Canis lupus familiaris: one gene and its partners. The protein of the gene in region 2 interacts with the protein of the main gene of each other region in a pairwise test. Links are inferred from orthologs where the notes say so. Each region holds a gene or a part of one and is shown on either strand. Other genes may lie near its edges.

Region 1 (4,674 bases), on a different chromosome or scaffold from region 2:
CTGTATGATCTTAGACACATCACTTAAACTGTCTTAGTGTCCCTATCTTTAAAATGAGGATAATGAGGAGGCTCCTGGCTTGCTCATTCAGTAGGACATGTGACTCCTGATCTCAGGGTTATAAGTTTAAGCCTCACATTGGGCATGGAGCCTACTTTTTAAAAAATGAGGATGATGCTAGTACCTACCTCATTGAGGGGATTTCCTGTGAGGTGATGCATGACAAGTGCTTGGCACATACTAGGTGCTTTAGAAATGTTGTAGGTGGTTTTGGCTGAGAACATTGAGATTCTAGGAAGGGAAATGTCCCCATCCTAAGCTGTAGCCAATACAGTTACCTAGTATAAATCACAGGTAGAAAGTCACTCCCTCATTTCTGGAAAGAGGACTGGCATTATTGGGAGAACCCGACTTTAGTGCTTCCCCAGGCTCAACGCCTATATCCTCCAAGTCAGGTCCTGGATCACAGAGTCGAGTCCTAAACTAGGGTCCCAGAAGTGGGCCTGCCACAGGCACTCCTTCCTCTGCTTCATTGACTTTGGGTGGATTAGTCTCCCCTCTGAGCCTCAGCTCCCTTTTCTATAAAATAAAGTTTTCAACTGAATGATGGGGGCGGGGTGTGGAGAGGTATCTTTTCCTTAAATCCCTGATGAAGTATGAGTGACATTAGATTATGTAAAGATACTCAACTAGAGGCCAAGATTCAGAGACCTCTTAACCCCCTGGAACTGTGTGCAAGATTGTATATGTGACATGTATGTACACGTGTGTGAACATTTCTATCTGAGCATGTTTTAGGAATAGATCTATTTATCTTTGTGAAGGAGGTCTGTGATCCCAGAAGAGTAGTCACCGACCTAGTTCAGACCTTTTTTTTTTTAAAAAAAAGATTTTATTTATTTATTCATGAGAGACAGAGAGAGGCAGAGGGAGAAGCAGGCTCCCTATGGGGAGCCTGATGGGGAATTTGATCTCAGGACACACACCCCCTCCCCCCACCCCCGCCATCACAACCTGAGCCAAAGGCAGATGCTTAACCACTGAGACACCCAGGTGCCCCTGGTTCAGACCTTCTATCTGAACTATAGATATAGTTCAGACTATATCAAGATCTGATATATATGGGCAGCCCCGGTGGCGCAGCGGTTTAGTGCTGCCTGCAGCTCAGGCAGGGCATGATCCTGGAGACCCTGGATCGAGTCCCACGTCAGGCTCTCTGCATGGAGCCTGCTTCTCCCTCTGCCTGTGTCTCTGCCTCTCCCTCTATGAATAAGTAAAATCTTTTTTAAAAAAAAGATTATATATATATATATATATGACTATAGCAAGAGCCTCCAAACTGGTCTCCCTACTCCTTTGTTCCTTAAACGTGTCCTCCACCTATCACACAGGGTATCATTCCTTTGTTTGAATCTTTCTTTTGGCCTTAGTGGCAAAAAGAAATGCATAGTATTTAAAGACATTCATAATCTTACCCAGCCTGGTCCCCACACTCATATCCTGACACACCCTAATCTATTTCCTCTGTCCTCAGCCCCTCTGTGTACCCTCCTGCCCTGGCTACAGGGAACGTTTCACTGCTTCCTGAATGCATCAAGCACTTTCACATCTCTCTTCCTTTGCAGGAGCTTCCCTGTACTTCATCTGGCAAACCCTCGTGTGTGCTTCAAAATCCAACTCAGGCGTCCCACCCCTTTGTGATGTCTCCCTGACACCTCCTCCAAATGAACCACACCCTCTGTGCTCCAACTCCTGTGCTTAAAGTCACATTTATCCCACTGTACTGTAATTATGTGTTTGAGTGTCTGTCTGCCCAAGCAGATATGAACTTCTCCCAGCAGAGAAACCAAGTTTCTGACTCACGTTTGGAGCCTCAGGACCCAGCACGGGGCATGGCACCACATGTGTACGGGTAATGACTATCTAAAATGAGTCAGTAAGTTAATGAAGGAGTAAGTCAGTGAGTGAACAGACCAAGAAGGAAGAATAGATACACCTGAACCGGTGCGCGTGGGATTGGGTCCCGCCCCGCCCCCAACACATGGAACTACATTTCCCAGAAGACCCCGCGACCTGGGCATGCGCACTGGAGAGCTAGGAAGCTGCGACGCCGAGTTTCACTCTGGCTGCCTCCTCAGAGTCGGAGCTTCAGCCGGAGCGGTGCCCAGGCCGGCCCGAGCTGCAGCCCCAGCGCGGCGGTGCCCTCACCCGGCCCCCTCGTCTTCCTCAGCCTCGGTGAGAGGGGCGGGCGGGCCACCTGCCCGTCGCCAGGGCTGGGGTCCCGGGGACGCGGGGGGGACTGAGCCGAACTGGGACCGGAAGGGGGCGGGCGTGGGACTGAGGGAGGGCCGGGCCGGGCCGGGGAAGAGCCCCGTGGTGAGGTCCGGGGGGACTGGGAGGACCCGCCGCGGGGCTGGCCCGGGGCCGCGGCCGCCGGAGGCGGGAGCTGGGAGAATCGGGCGCGCTGGCAGCTTTGGGACGGGTCTGGGTGCGAGGGTGAGCGCCGGGTGGGAGCCGAAGGGCTGGCAGGGGGAGGGGCGCAGACCCCGGGAGTTCGGGGCCGTGGCGAGGAGGACACCCCTTCCCACAGGGGCGGGCGGAGGCGCTGGAGATCCCGTCACTGGGCTCCGGGGCTCGCGGGGTCGATTCTCCTGGGTTCTGGCTTCGGGCGGACGACTTGCTGCAGCCCGGGGCTGTACTTTTTGAAAGAGTTTGCCCCCAAACTCTGCTTCCCTGCCTCAGGTAGGGGTCGCCCTCCGGGAAACTCCGGTTTCCTGGGGGCCCTGGGTTCCTTTTGAGGGTTGCGTAATGTACGTCGGAGAGGATTTAGACGACTTTTTTTTTATTTTTCTGAACCTGCCCTGTCGCCCACTCCGCTCCCCTCCCCTCCAACCAGCTGCTCCCTTCCACACTGGTTCCACTTCCCTAAGTGCCAGTAACAGTGGAAATAGTGTGTGCACGCACAGGCTCCCGGACCGTTAAGAATTAATTCAAGAATACTTCTGCCTGCTATCCTCTAGAGTTCTAGAAGGTCGACGTTGTGGTAGCCAAAATCGGGCTTTACCCTCACGGTAACTATAACTGGGCCTCTTACTCATTTGCTGCGTGACCTTGGCCAAACTTTTACCTTCTCTGGTGTGTTAATCTCCTGGATTCTTACACTGCAGACTGACTTAGGAAGCCCATTTAGGCCTTTCCGTGAAAGAGCTGAGGTGTGTGTGTGTGTGTGTTTCCACCATCCCCTTGATTATTGAGTGGGTAGAGGGAGACTGTTGTACCTTCTGTCCTGCCCAGGCTGTTGAAAAATAAATCTGGTGGTTTCCAGTCCCCGGCCGCAGCGCACAGACCCAACATCTGTGCATTCGTTTTCACTGACTGCTGTTTCTCAATTTAAAACCTGATCATCTTTTTCCTTGTTGGCAAAGGTGCCCTGGAATTTGTGTTGCTGAGTCAGCAAGGCTTTCCGATTTGCTCGGTTTTTGTTGTTTGCATTTTATATCAAGATGGGAACTCAAACAAGTCATTCCTCCTAAGGATCTAGTGTCTCTGTCAAGAAGGGACAGTTTGTGCCAGCTCTCCAGAGAGAAAAGGTAAGAGTGACAGGGACTTCACATTGCTGCCTTCTGGATCTGGTTTTCAGTAGAGGAGGTGGAGACTGGGGAGGGTGAAATTTGAGGTCTCCCGGATGAAAGTCAGCCTTGGGAGTTGATTGTTGATTGCCAACTGTCTCAAATAAAGTCAAGTGCTTTCTTGCCAAGGGCTTCTTCTGTTAAACCAGGCTTAGAGGATGCTTTACACATGGTTTTCACTTAAGACATGCTTTATGGGGTGAAGGACACAAGTCATGATTTCTGCATCTGAGCTGGAAATTTTATTTCTTTTGTTGCCCGCACAAAACTGGGTGCCTTCTTTGTGTCAAGCCCCATGCTCAATGGTGGGGCACAGTGATGAGTGAGAAGAGCTCTGTCACCTGGGAGCTCATCATTTGGTGGAATGGACTGTCCGTTCCTAGACAGACCCTAGACAGTGGCAAGGAGTTGTTGGTGTGCTATGTGTTGAGGTGGGAGGAATCACAGGGCAGAGCCCCAGCCCCTCGACCAGGGGCTGTCCAGGAAGGGATAGGAGGGAAGGGTCAGCAAGCTTCTAGAAGAACATAATTGAGCTGAGTTGTGAAGGACTTGAAAAGGAGAGCAGAAGCCTGGCAGAGGAGTGGGCATCTGCAGAGTCCAGAAGTTACCTGGTACGCATGGGCCAATGTAAGTAGCTCTATGTGGCTAGAGCAACAGGGATGGGTGTGAGGTGGAGGAGGCTGGTTAGGTAGGCAGAGGGAAAGTGTGGATGGTTTTGTGGGCCGCACTAAGGCTCTGGGAAGCAGGATTTTAGCAGAATTCCATGAGGGCATTTTACATGAGCACACTGGCTAGAAAGTATGAATGGATTAGACTGGATTATTCTCTTTGTGACTGTTTCTTTACACCATGCCAGCTTTTGATAGAGGAAGAGTTAGACATAGATGTTGCCCTCAGTTTCTTCATAGTCTCCTTGAAGAGATAGAATGGACATAGAGAACTGTAAAGGGCAGGCAAGTGCTGTGGAAGTTGAGAAGAGGGTGTTTTCTTTCAGTTGGGCATCTCGAGGCATCATGGAAGTACGTTTAAATTGGGTCTTGAAAGG
Region 2 (4,135 bases):
CTAAGTCCCCTACCGGGCAGGGCAGGGGTATCCTACCGAAGGCAGCCGCAGCCGCTCAACCACTGAGCCCCCCAGGGACCCCCCCTCTGAGGCATTTTGCATATGCCCTTCCCAGTCTTCACAACAATTGCATGAGGTGGTATTATTGTACCTCTGAGGAAACAGACAAAGGAAGATTAAGTGAGGAACAGAGCAAAGGAAGTGGCTGGGTCTGGATCTGAGTCAGGGTCTGAGCAGAAGCTGCCTGAAATGTGCTTTTCTTCATTTTGTCTTGTTTTGCCATTTACATTTTTGTACAGTGTTTCTATTGTTCTCTCTTAGTCAAGTTATTTTTGAAAATGTCAAAAAATTTCTGTGACGGAAAATAAAAAACAGTTCTCAAGATAGAGTGCCAGGTGCTTCGAGGGTGAGGGAGGGAGTACAGCAGAGAAGACACAGCTCCCGCCACCCTCACAAAGCATGTGGATGGGCTCGGTGGGGTGACTGGAGGCATAGATGGTCTGGCTGCAGAAGTTGAGGGAAGGAAGGTGGCCATAAGGATGGAACAGTGAGAGAGGGCCTCATTCAAGAGGTGGGCCCAATGCGAAGGAGCCACTGTAGGCATGACTTCCCTCCATCCATCTCACTCAGCCCTCCAGGACAGCATTGTATCAGGGACCCAGTAGGGGAGGGGGGCATGAACAGCCAACAGACCCCCACTTCCTCCCTCAGAAGCACCAGTACCTACAGCCATCCCTTTTGGGAGTGGGTCAGTTTTATATTTTGGGAAAGCAAGGAGTGTTCTGGAAGCAGCTGGATAGCTGATAAAGGCATCCTCTCTTGGCTGATTTTTTCTTCACTCTGAGAAGGGAGTATGGGGGTGTTGACCTCTCCTTGTCTCCCCATGACGTGTGGGGGCCAGTCCCATGGCTGATTAGGGTGGGTAGGTGGCCTGCCCCAACTTTTCAGTTCCTCTTTACCTCTCCTTGCCCACCACAGAGGCAGCTCGCCAACTACAACTTTGACTTTAAGAGCTGGCCGGTCGACTTCCACTGGAAAGAGCCCAGCAGCCGGTGAGGTCCCAGTTCTCTCATTCCATCCCTGCTCTGTCCTGTCCCCATCTTGGGCCCCAGGGGCTGCTCTCCAGCACCATCTCCTTGTTCCTAGACAGCATCCTCCCCCCTCTCCTGCAGACCTCCGCTGTTCAGCTTGCTGCTCCTGACTGTCCTCCCCTGCATCTTTCCATCCTCAGGAAGGAGTCTCGAGGGGGCCCTTCTTACCAAGGTGTGGCCCTGCTCCGCCCAGAGCCCCTGCACCGGGGGACAGCAGACACCCTCCTCAACCGGGTCAAGAAGCTGCCTTGTCAGATCACCAGGTGGGAAGCAACAGGGAAGAGAGGCCAGCTGGGATGGAGGTGATTCGGAGTGAGGATTCCAGGACAGGGTGCTCCCTTGCAAGATAGGGCCTTGTGCTGCGTAGTTTGTATTATTTGTGGTAGTTTTTTTTTCTTTCCAAAGATTTTATTTATTTATTCATGAGAGACATAGAGGCAGAGGGAGGAGTAGGCTCCCTGTAGGGAGCCTGATATGGACACTTGAACCCAGGACCCCAGGATCACGACCTGAGCCAAAGGCAGATGCTCAACCACTGAGCTACCCAGGTGCTCATATTTGTGGTTTTTAATCTAGATTTATAGGTGAAGAAAAGAGGCCCAGAGAGCTCCAGAGTCTCATAGACAGTGAATGAAAGACTGGGATGTTCACACAATTCTATCTGACACAAAAGTTCTTTCATGTTACTACTCTTTTTGTTTTTGTTTTTTTTAATTTATTTATTAAGCAAGCTCTGCACGAAACATAGGCCTTGAGCTCACGGCCCCAAGAGCAGGAGTCACATCTTCTACAAACTGGGCCAGCCAGGTCCCCACAGAAGCTCTGTTAACCAGGCTGGGAGGGAAGAATGAGGTTGGAGGTGTGGTGGAGACACATAGCCTTAGCTGGAGCAGGGTCTGGTGGCAGCTATCCCTGTCTTGGCCCCTCTGCTCCTAGGCTATCCTACCTTAGCGACCTGCAATCTCTGTGTCCATGATTAACCCACTTCATAGGATTGGCGAGATTAAGTGTAGTAACATCTTCACAAAGCCTTCTACCTTGCCTGGGTGCCTGAGAGCATATGGCAAAGCCCAAGTAAATCATAGTTGTGGACACGGATGGTGTTGGAAGTAGCAGCAGTAATCATCCATATCTTACCGTGGTGCAGATGTCGTGGGAATTTTCTGTTGCTGTGGCCTGGGACGCAGTTTCTGGAATACCGAAGAAAGGGGAGGGCTTAGTGGTCGGTGTCTACAGTATGCTGATTGGTCAGAGGGGCAAGCCAGATTTGCAGTTTTGAGAGGATGCTGAATGGGGTAGTACAGTGTTTTTCTGTGAACAAATCCTACTTCAAGATTAACTGGAAATGGTCTTTCAGGAACAGCACCTACCACAGCTTATCTGTCTAGATTAGTGCATTGGTTCAGTAAATATTTATTAAGCCCCTACTCTGCATTAGGCTCTAGCCACCAGCTACATGGCAGATAAAAGGCATATTGCAGTGAACAGAACAGCCAGGTCTCTGCTTGGTGGAGTGTGCAATCTAGTTTGGTGTCTTTCAAACTGTGGATCTTGGGGCACCTGGGTGGCTCAGTTGGTTGAGTGTCCAACTCTTTTTTTTTTTTTTTTTTTTTTTTTTTTTTTTTTTTAATTAATTTTTTTTTATTTATTTATGATAGTCACACACACAGAGAGAGAGAGAGAGAGAGAGGCAGAGACACAGGCAGAGGGAGAAGCAGGCTCCATGCACCGGGAGCCCGACGTGGGATTCGATCCCGGGTCTCCAGGATCACGCCCTGGGCCAAAGGCAGGCGCCAAACCGCTGCGCCACGCAGGGATCCCTCTTTTTTTTTTTTTAAGATTTTATTTATTTATTCATGATAGAGAGAGAGGCAGAAACACAGGCAGATGGAGAAGCAGGCCCAAAGTCGGACTCGATCCCGGGTCTCCAGGATCACGCCCTGGGCCAAAGGCAGGTGCTGAACCGCTGAGCCACCCAGGGATCCCCAAGTGTCCAACTCTTGACCTCGGCTCAGGTCACGATCTCAGGGTCATGGGATGGGCCCCACCTTGGGGTCTGTGCTCACGAGGAGTCTGCTTCACTATGCCTCTGTCTCTTCCCCAGTTCATGCACACACACACATTCTCTCTCTCTCTCAATCTCTCTGCCCCCCTTCCTCCCCCTCTTGCTCTCTCTCTCCTCCCCTCCACTTTCCCTCTCTCAAATCTCAAAACAGAAAGCAAATTATGGATCTTGACCCACTCATGAATCTTGAAATCAATTGAATAAATTATAGCTGTTGTTTATTTAAGTATTATTTACTTGGGGACTTTTAATAAGTTGCATTTGTTTAAGATTTATTTATTTATTTGAAAGAAAAAGATTTATTTATTTATTTGAGAGAGAGAGTGAATGAGCAGGTGCTCATGCGGGTACACCAGGGAAAGGTCTGGGGGAGGAACAGGGAGGAGAGAGAATCTTTTTTTTTTTTTTTTTAAGATTTTATTTATTCATGAGAGACACAGAAAGAGAAAGGCAGAGACCCAGGCAGAGGGAGAAGGAGAAGCAGGCTCCCTGTGGGGAGCCCCACGTGGAACTCAATCCCCGGACCCCAGGATCACACCTTGAGCCGAAGGCAGATGCTTAACCTCTGAGCCACCCAGGCATCCTGAGGAGAGAGAATCTTAAGCAGACTCCATGCTGAGCCTGCAGCCCCATGCAGGGATCCCAGGACTGGAGCTGAAACCAACAGTTCAGACGCTTAACTGACTGTGCTCCCGAGGTGTCCCTAAGTTGTATTTATACATTAAGAGAATCATAGTTAATAACTTTGCTTTTACTTTTACGTAGAAAATATTATTTCCTGAAATTTTCAGTATTATATGTACAAATGCGTGTACTGGGCCACAGTATAAAATGTGCATCTTAGAAAGGCTGTAGTAAAAAAAAAAAGTTGGGAAAACACCAGTCTGGTTCATACAGCATTTTGTTAAATCTTCTAAAAAGAAAACAAAAATGTGAAGGTCAAGGGTGCATCAGGCCCCAGAACCTCTGGGTGCAAGGG
Region 3 (4,832 bases), about 390 kb from region 2:
TCCTCCAAAAACCTCTTTCCTGTTCCCAACTCCGGATATCTGCAGGTGTCTACTATATGCCAAGTACTCGTCTCCTCCCCGTGGCTCCACCTCCCTGGCCCCTCCAGCTCTCGCTGGCTCTCTGACTTTTGCCCTCCCCGCACGCAGTCCGGCTCCCTGCTTCAACCCTCTCTCTGGTCTTTAAAGAGAAGAGGTACTCTCGGGCCCTGTCCCTGCCCCTGTCCTTCCACGGTCTTTATTTAACTTCAGTACTTTCGCTTTTCAATTTCCTTCCTGTCAGTCTCAATCACTGAAGCTGAGACAGTGCCTCTCCCCAACATAGAATCTGGGCGGGCGCATCTTTTCCAGTAGAAACTGGGTATTAGGGTTGCTTTAAAAAAAAATGAGAAAGAAACAAAAAAAAAAAAAAAAAAAGAGAGAGAGAGAGAGAGAGAGAGAGAAAGAACGCTAGATTACTCTGGGACGAGCATGCCTCCTGAATTTTGTAGGCATGTATCTGTTCCCTGTCCAGCCTCTGACCTCCTCTCGCTCGTCTTTCCACTGTCCCTTAAACCAGGACCATTGCGTTGCTCCTCTCCTTGGTCTACACCCCTTCCCCTAGAACTTTTCTCCTAAGCCTTTCCCGGCATCCTGTACCTTCACTTCCCCCGCCCTCCTCTCACCTGGCCTCCCTGGTCACGTGAGACCTTTATCTGGGTGCTGACCTGCCCTCGGCCCGAGTCTGTCCCCGCTGCCAGACACACATTCGCCCTGCTAGAATTTACACGCCCTGAGGTCGAGGATGTAAGGAACACTGGTATGGGAGGACTGTTACCTAGTTCTGCTCCTTGGGCCACAGTGAGGTCACTGACTGTAGAGAAGGCCCAAGCTCGGGCCTGCCCAAGTCCCGGGGGTCCTACCCAGGAGGAAGACCCCACTTCTGCGGGACACACTACAGGACGGAAGGGGCGGGCCTAACCCCATTCCGCCGCGGGTCGCTCAGGAGGGCGGGCCTTGCCCCCTCGGCACCTACTCACGAAGGGGTGGAGCTAGTTCGCTTTTCAGGTTTAAAACGGGGCCGGGGTCAACTCTGTCATCCTGTGTCAACGTTAGAAAGGTGTGGGCCTTGAGATCTGTTCTGCAAGTCACCTAAGGAGGAGCGGGCTGCGTCCCGCAGCCGAGGGAGATGGGTTAACACCAGCGCCGCAGGTCGATGCTCGCACCACCCACACGTCGAGCTGATGCCAGTTCTGCTCCCTTCTTCACTGAAAGGGAGGGGCGAGCCCCAGTTCTGCCCTCTACGTCACCGAAGGAGGCCGGAGCCATTTTGAGCCCTGCGACCATAGCATTTGCTACCTCGCCGAGCTCTCGGCCGTCTTTTCCGATCTCGGCCAATCAGGGCTGCAAGAAACTAGCCAATCAGCCCGGAGAGACCGCAGTCGGAGGGCCCGGATGAGGCGGCGCTGATGCCTTTGAACCCCAAAGCCCGCCAATCGTAGAGCAGTCACCACGGCGACAAGAGCGCGGCGAGGGGGTGGGGCCAGAGAAAGCCGAGCACTCTCGGCCTGGCCCGCCCCTTCCCGCCGCCTGCTGCGCGCGCGCACTTTGCCGAACCACCATCTTCCGTCGAGTTCCAGCCAATCCAGAGCTTCGGAGCTCTACGCTCCAAAGTCCAATAGGAATCCGGACGTTCTCGGAAAGGGGAAGTGAAGCAAAGAAAGGGCTCGGAGGAGGCGGGGCCTGTGTGGTCCCGGACCAATTGCTTCTGGCCCTTGGCCCTGACTGGCAGCTACTCAGACGAATCAAGCTCCCCGACCAGGTCCAACGGACACCAATTCTGTCGCATGGCGTCCTGACGGAGACGCGCCCGCCAATCGTCGCTGGCAAGGGCAGGCCTGCGCAGACCTCTCCCTACCCTTTGGGCCAATCCTGGCTTTTAAACTGTGTGATTGTCAGCCACCCAGACCAGTAGTGTTTAGACAACCTCGAAGCCCGCCCAACGGTCGTGGGCTGGAGGCGGTTTCTCGCTGTTGGGGCGTGTGTGTGTCTGTGTGTGTGTTTGGGGAGACCGAGGGGTACGTGAAGGCGAAACACCGGCCATGGCAGCCGCGGAGGAGGAGGACGGGGGCCCCGAAGGGCCAAACCGCGAGCGGGGCGGGGCGGGCGCGACCTTCGAATGTAATATATGCTTGGAGACTGCTCGGGAGGCTGTGGTCAGCGTGTGTGGCCACCTGTACTGGTGAGGGTCCGGCCGGGGCTGAAGAGAAATGGGGCTCGCCCCTTACTGGGGAGGCTGGGGGCGGGATGGCACGCATACGGATAGTCGGCGGGCACATCCCCGTGGGCGAGGCCCGAGGTCTCTGGGAATGTGTGGGTGAGAGGGTCACATCTCCACGGAGGAGAGCCGTGTGGCGGAGAGCCCTAGGAACTGGGCGCTGAGGGGTGTGCTGTGGTTAAGAGGCAGCAGGGCGGGGTGGTGGTGGGGGAACTACATCTGTCCAGGTGAGACCCCAGCCGCCTTACCCCGGAAAGTGACGGTCTTAGTTGTACAGGTGGAGATAGATTAGACTCCAAGGTTAGAGGAGGCACGCCTTAGTCGGGTACGGGAGACCGAGGGAATGTAGGATCGCATGCAGATGAGATCTTGGTAGGGAGTGGTATGACAGACCTGAGGACCAGGGCACTGAGAAATGAAAGGATGGTGGAAATAGGGACTTGATGGAGCCTAGAAGAGAGGAAAAGGAGTAGTGGGGGCAGGTGCTAGTAAAGGGGGTTTGGTTGAGGAGTGATGCGGGCAGGGCTGGGGTTGGGGCTGAAACAGGAGATCTAGAAAGCTCTGGTTGAAGAGACCTGGACACTAAGTTCAGAGGCAGAAAAGGGAGGGGACATGTGTGTTCAAGGAGAGAAGAGCGTTGAACCTCGGAGGATGAATATTACTTTAGACGTTGTAAGATCAGAGAGGTGGGAAGGCCAAATTGGCTGGCATGGAATAGGTTGTCAAAAACATGAAAAGAAACAGCAGGTAATACCTGGGAAGAGGGGTGCGATCGGACTCTGAGGTCAGGTTCGTGTCTGTCTTTACTGTAGCTAGTTTGACCTTCTTTTTTTCCCCCCATCTAGTTGGCCCTGTCTTCATCAGGTGCGTACTCAGAGGAGATGAAGAGGGAAATGGGGAGGTCTGAGGAGTTGAAAAACCCTACTGTGAACTGGAAACCACTTCATTTTCTCCCTCAGTGGTTGGAGACCCGGCCAGAGCGGCAAGAGTGCCCAGTGTGTAAAGCTGGGATCAGCAGAGAAAAGGTTGTCCCTCTTTATGGGCGAGGGAGCCAGAAGCCCCAGGATCCCAGGTGAGAGAGAGGGGGTGGTGCTGAGGGAAGATGGACTGCTTCTGGCCTGGGAGTGGGGCGTGGAGGGGGAGAGGACATTCCTTGCTGCTAGCCCTAGCCAGTCTCTCATTCCTCAGATTGAAAACTCCACCCCGCCCCCAGGGCCAGCGACCAGCTTCAGAGAGCAGAGGGGTGAGTCTTGTCTGATTTGTGTTCCTTCCTTGCCAAAGACCTGCCCAGTTCTCCTCTGACTTTCTCCACCTCCCTAGGGATTCCAGTCATTTGGTGATACCGGGGGCTTTCACTTCTCATTTGGTGTTGGTGCTTTTCCCTTTGGCTTTTTCACCACCGTCTTCAACACCCATGAGCCATTCCGTCGGGGTACAGGTAAGAAGAGCCTTCCCTCAGCTCCAAGCAGGGAGCCCTCTGAGTCCCCTCAGGCCTTTTCCCAACCTAGGAGTGGATGCTTCTCCCACAGCTTTCCTTTCTCCTACAGGTGTGGATCTGGGACAGGGTCACCCGGCCTCCAGCTGGCAGGACTCCCTCTTCCTGTTTCTCGCCATCTTCTTCTTTTTCTGGCTGCTCAGTATTTGAGCTTTGTCTCCTTCCTGCCCACCTCCAGCCAGAGGAGAATCAGTATTGGGGGTCCTTGCTGACCCTTCCTTACTCCTGGCCCCTCCCTCCCAACCCCTCCGTTTCTACTGGCTAAGGCCAACCCTGGCCACTTTGTAGGAGGGTGTGGGGAGGAGGTGTGACATCTGTGCAGAGGATGGGAGAAACTTCTGCCCTGAACTCGCTGCGTAGCATCCTAACTCCCAGCTCTGGGACAGGAGGACAGACGGAAGAGGATGTCTGTTTCTTCCCTCTCCTGATCTTTTGCTTTCCCCCACATTTGTTGATTTGATGTTGAAAGATGGGCAAGGCTCCCACTGACTCTCCCCTACTTTACCCCTGTTGACTTAATTTTTCTCTCCCCAGTGTCTAATATGGGTTCTGATTCTTAAGTCCTTCCTTCCCTTCACTACCTCCTTTATTATAAATTCAATAAACAAGGTGAGATGTACTGATGGGAGCTCTGCCCACCTTTGTCCTTACCCCCTTCCTTCCAGGACAGGAGCATCTCCCCAACTTGAGTAAATATTTGCACGGTGTGGGGAAGTGTGAAGGCTTTCTTCAAGGCTCTGAGGGATTCAGAGGGTGAGGGCGTCTCTCTCTCTCTCTCTCTCTCACAAACACACACACACAAACACACACAGAGGCATCTTTCTCACACACACACACACAGGCGTCTCTCACACACACACGTGTCTCACACACAGTCATCTCATACACGTGTCTCACACAGGTGTCACACACAGGCATCTCTTTCTCAAACACAGGTGTCTCTCACACACAGGTCTCACACACAGTCATCTCTTACACACAGGTGTCTCTCACAGTCATCTCTCACAGGTGTGTCACACAGGCGTCTCACACAGTCTCACACACACAGGCATCTCACACATGCAGGTGTCTCACACACACACA

The links.
Region 1: the proteins of ABHD16A (region 2) and DTX2 interact in binary tests that used the Homo sapiens proteins (3 or more experiments, as listed by UniProt). The two-hybrid records come from large-scale screens. The link is inferred for Canis lupus familiaris from reciprocal best matches to the Homo sapiens genes ABHD16A and DTX2.
Region 3: the proteins of ABHD16A (region 2) and RNF5 interact in binary tests that used the Homo sapiens proteins (3 or more experiments, as listed by UniProt). The link is inferred for Canis lupus familiaris from reciprocal best matches to the Homo sapiens genes ABHD16A and RNF5.

What each region holds. Positions count from the first base shown.
Region 1 is NC_049227.1:7,519,101-7,523,774, forward strand, and holds the start of DTX2 (probable E3 ubiquitin-protein ligase DTX2), read left to right. Parts: upstream 1-1,755; 5' UTR 1,756-2,235; intron 2,236-2,377; exon of another isoform or gene 2,378-2,496; intron 2,497-3,425; exon of another isoform or gene 3,426-3,590; intron 3,591-4,674. UniProt on the Homo sapiens protein: Regulator of Notch signaling, a signaling pathway involved in cell-cell communications that regulates a broad spectrum of cell-fate determinations.
Region 2 is NC_049233.1:1,311,726-1,315,860, reverse strand, and holds part of ABHD16A (phosphatidylserine lipase ABHD16A), read left to right. Parts: intron 1-978; coding exon 979-1,052; intron 1,053-1,231; coding exon 1,232-1,393; intron 1,394-4,135. UniProt on the Homo sapiens protein: Phosphatidylserine (PS) lipase that mediates the hydrolysis of phosphatidylserine to generate lysophosphatidylserine (LPS). LPS constitutes a class of signaling lipids that regulates immunological and neurological processes.
Region 3 is NC_049233.1:1,702,542-1,707,373, forward strand, and holds RNF5 (E3 ubiquitin-protein ligase RNF5), read left to right. Parts: upstream 1-1,913; 5' UTR 1,914-2,078; coding exon 2,079-2,218; intron 2,219-3,099; coding exon 3,100-3,118; intron 3,119-3,213; coding exon 3,214-3,326; intron 3,327-3,442; coding exon 3,443-3,497; intron 3,498-3,574; coding exon 3,575-3,692; intron 3,693-3,801; coding exon 3,802-3,899; 3' UTR 3,900-4,368; downstream 4,369-4,832. UniProt on the Homo sapiens protein: Membrane-bound E3 ubiquitin-protein ligase that mediates ubiquitination of target proteins. May function together with E2 ubiquitin-conjugating enzymes UBE2D1/UBCH5A and UBE2D2/UBC4.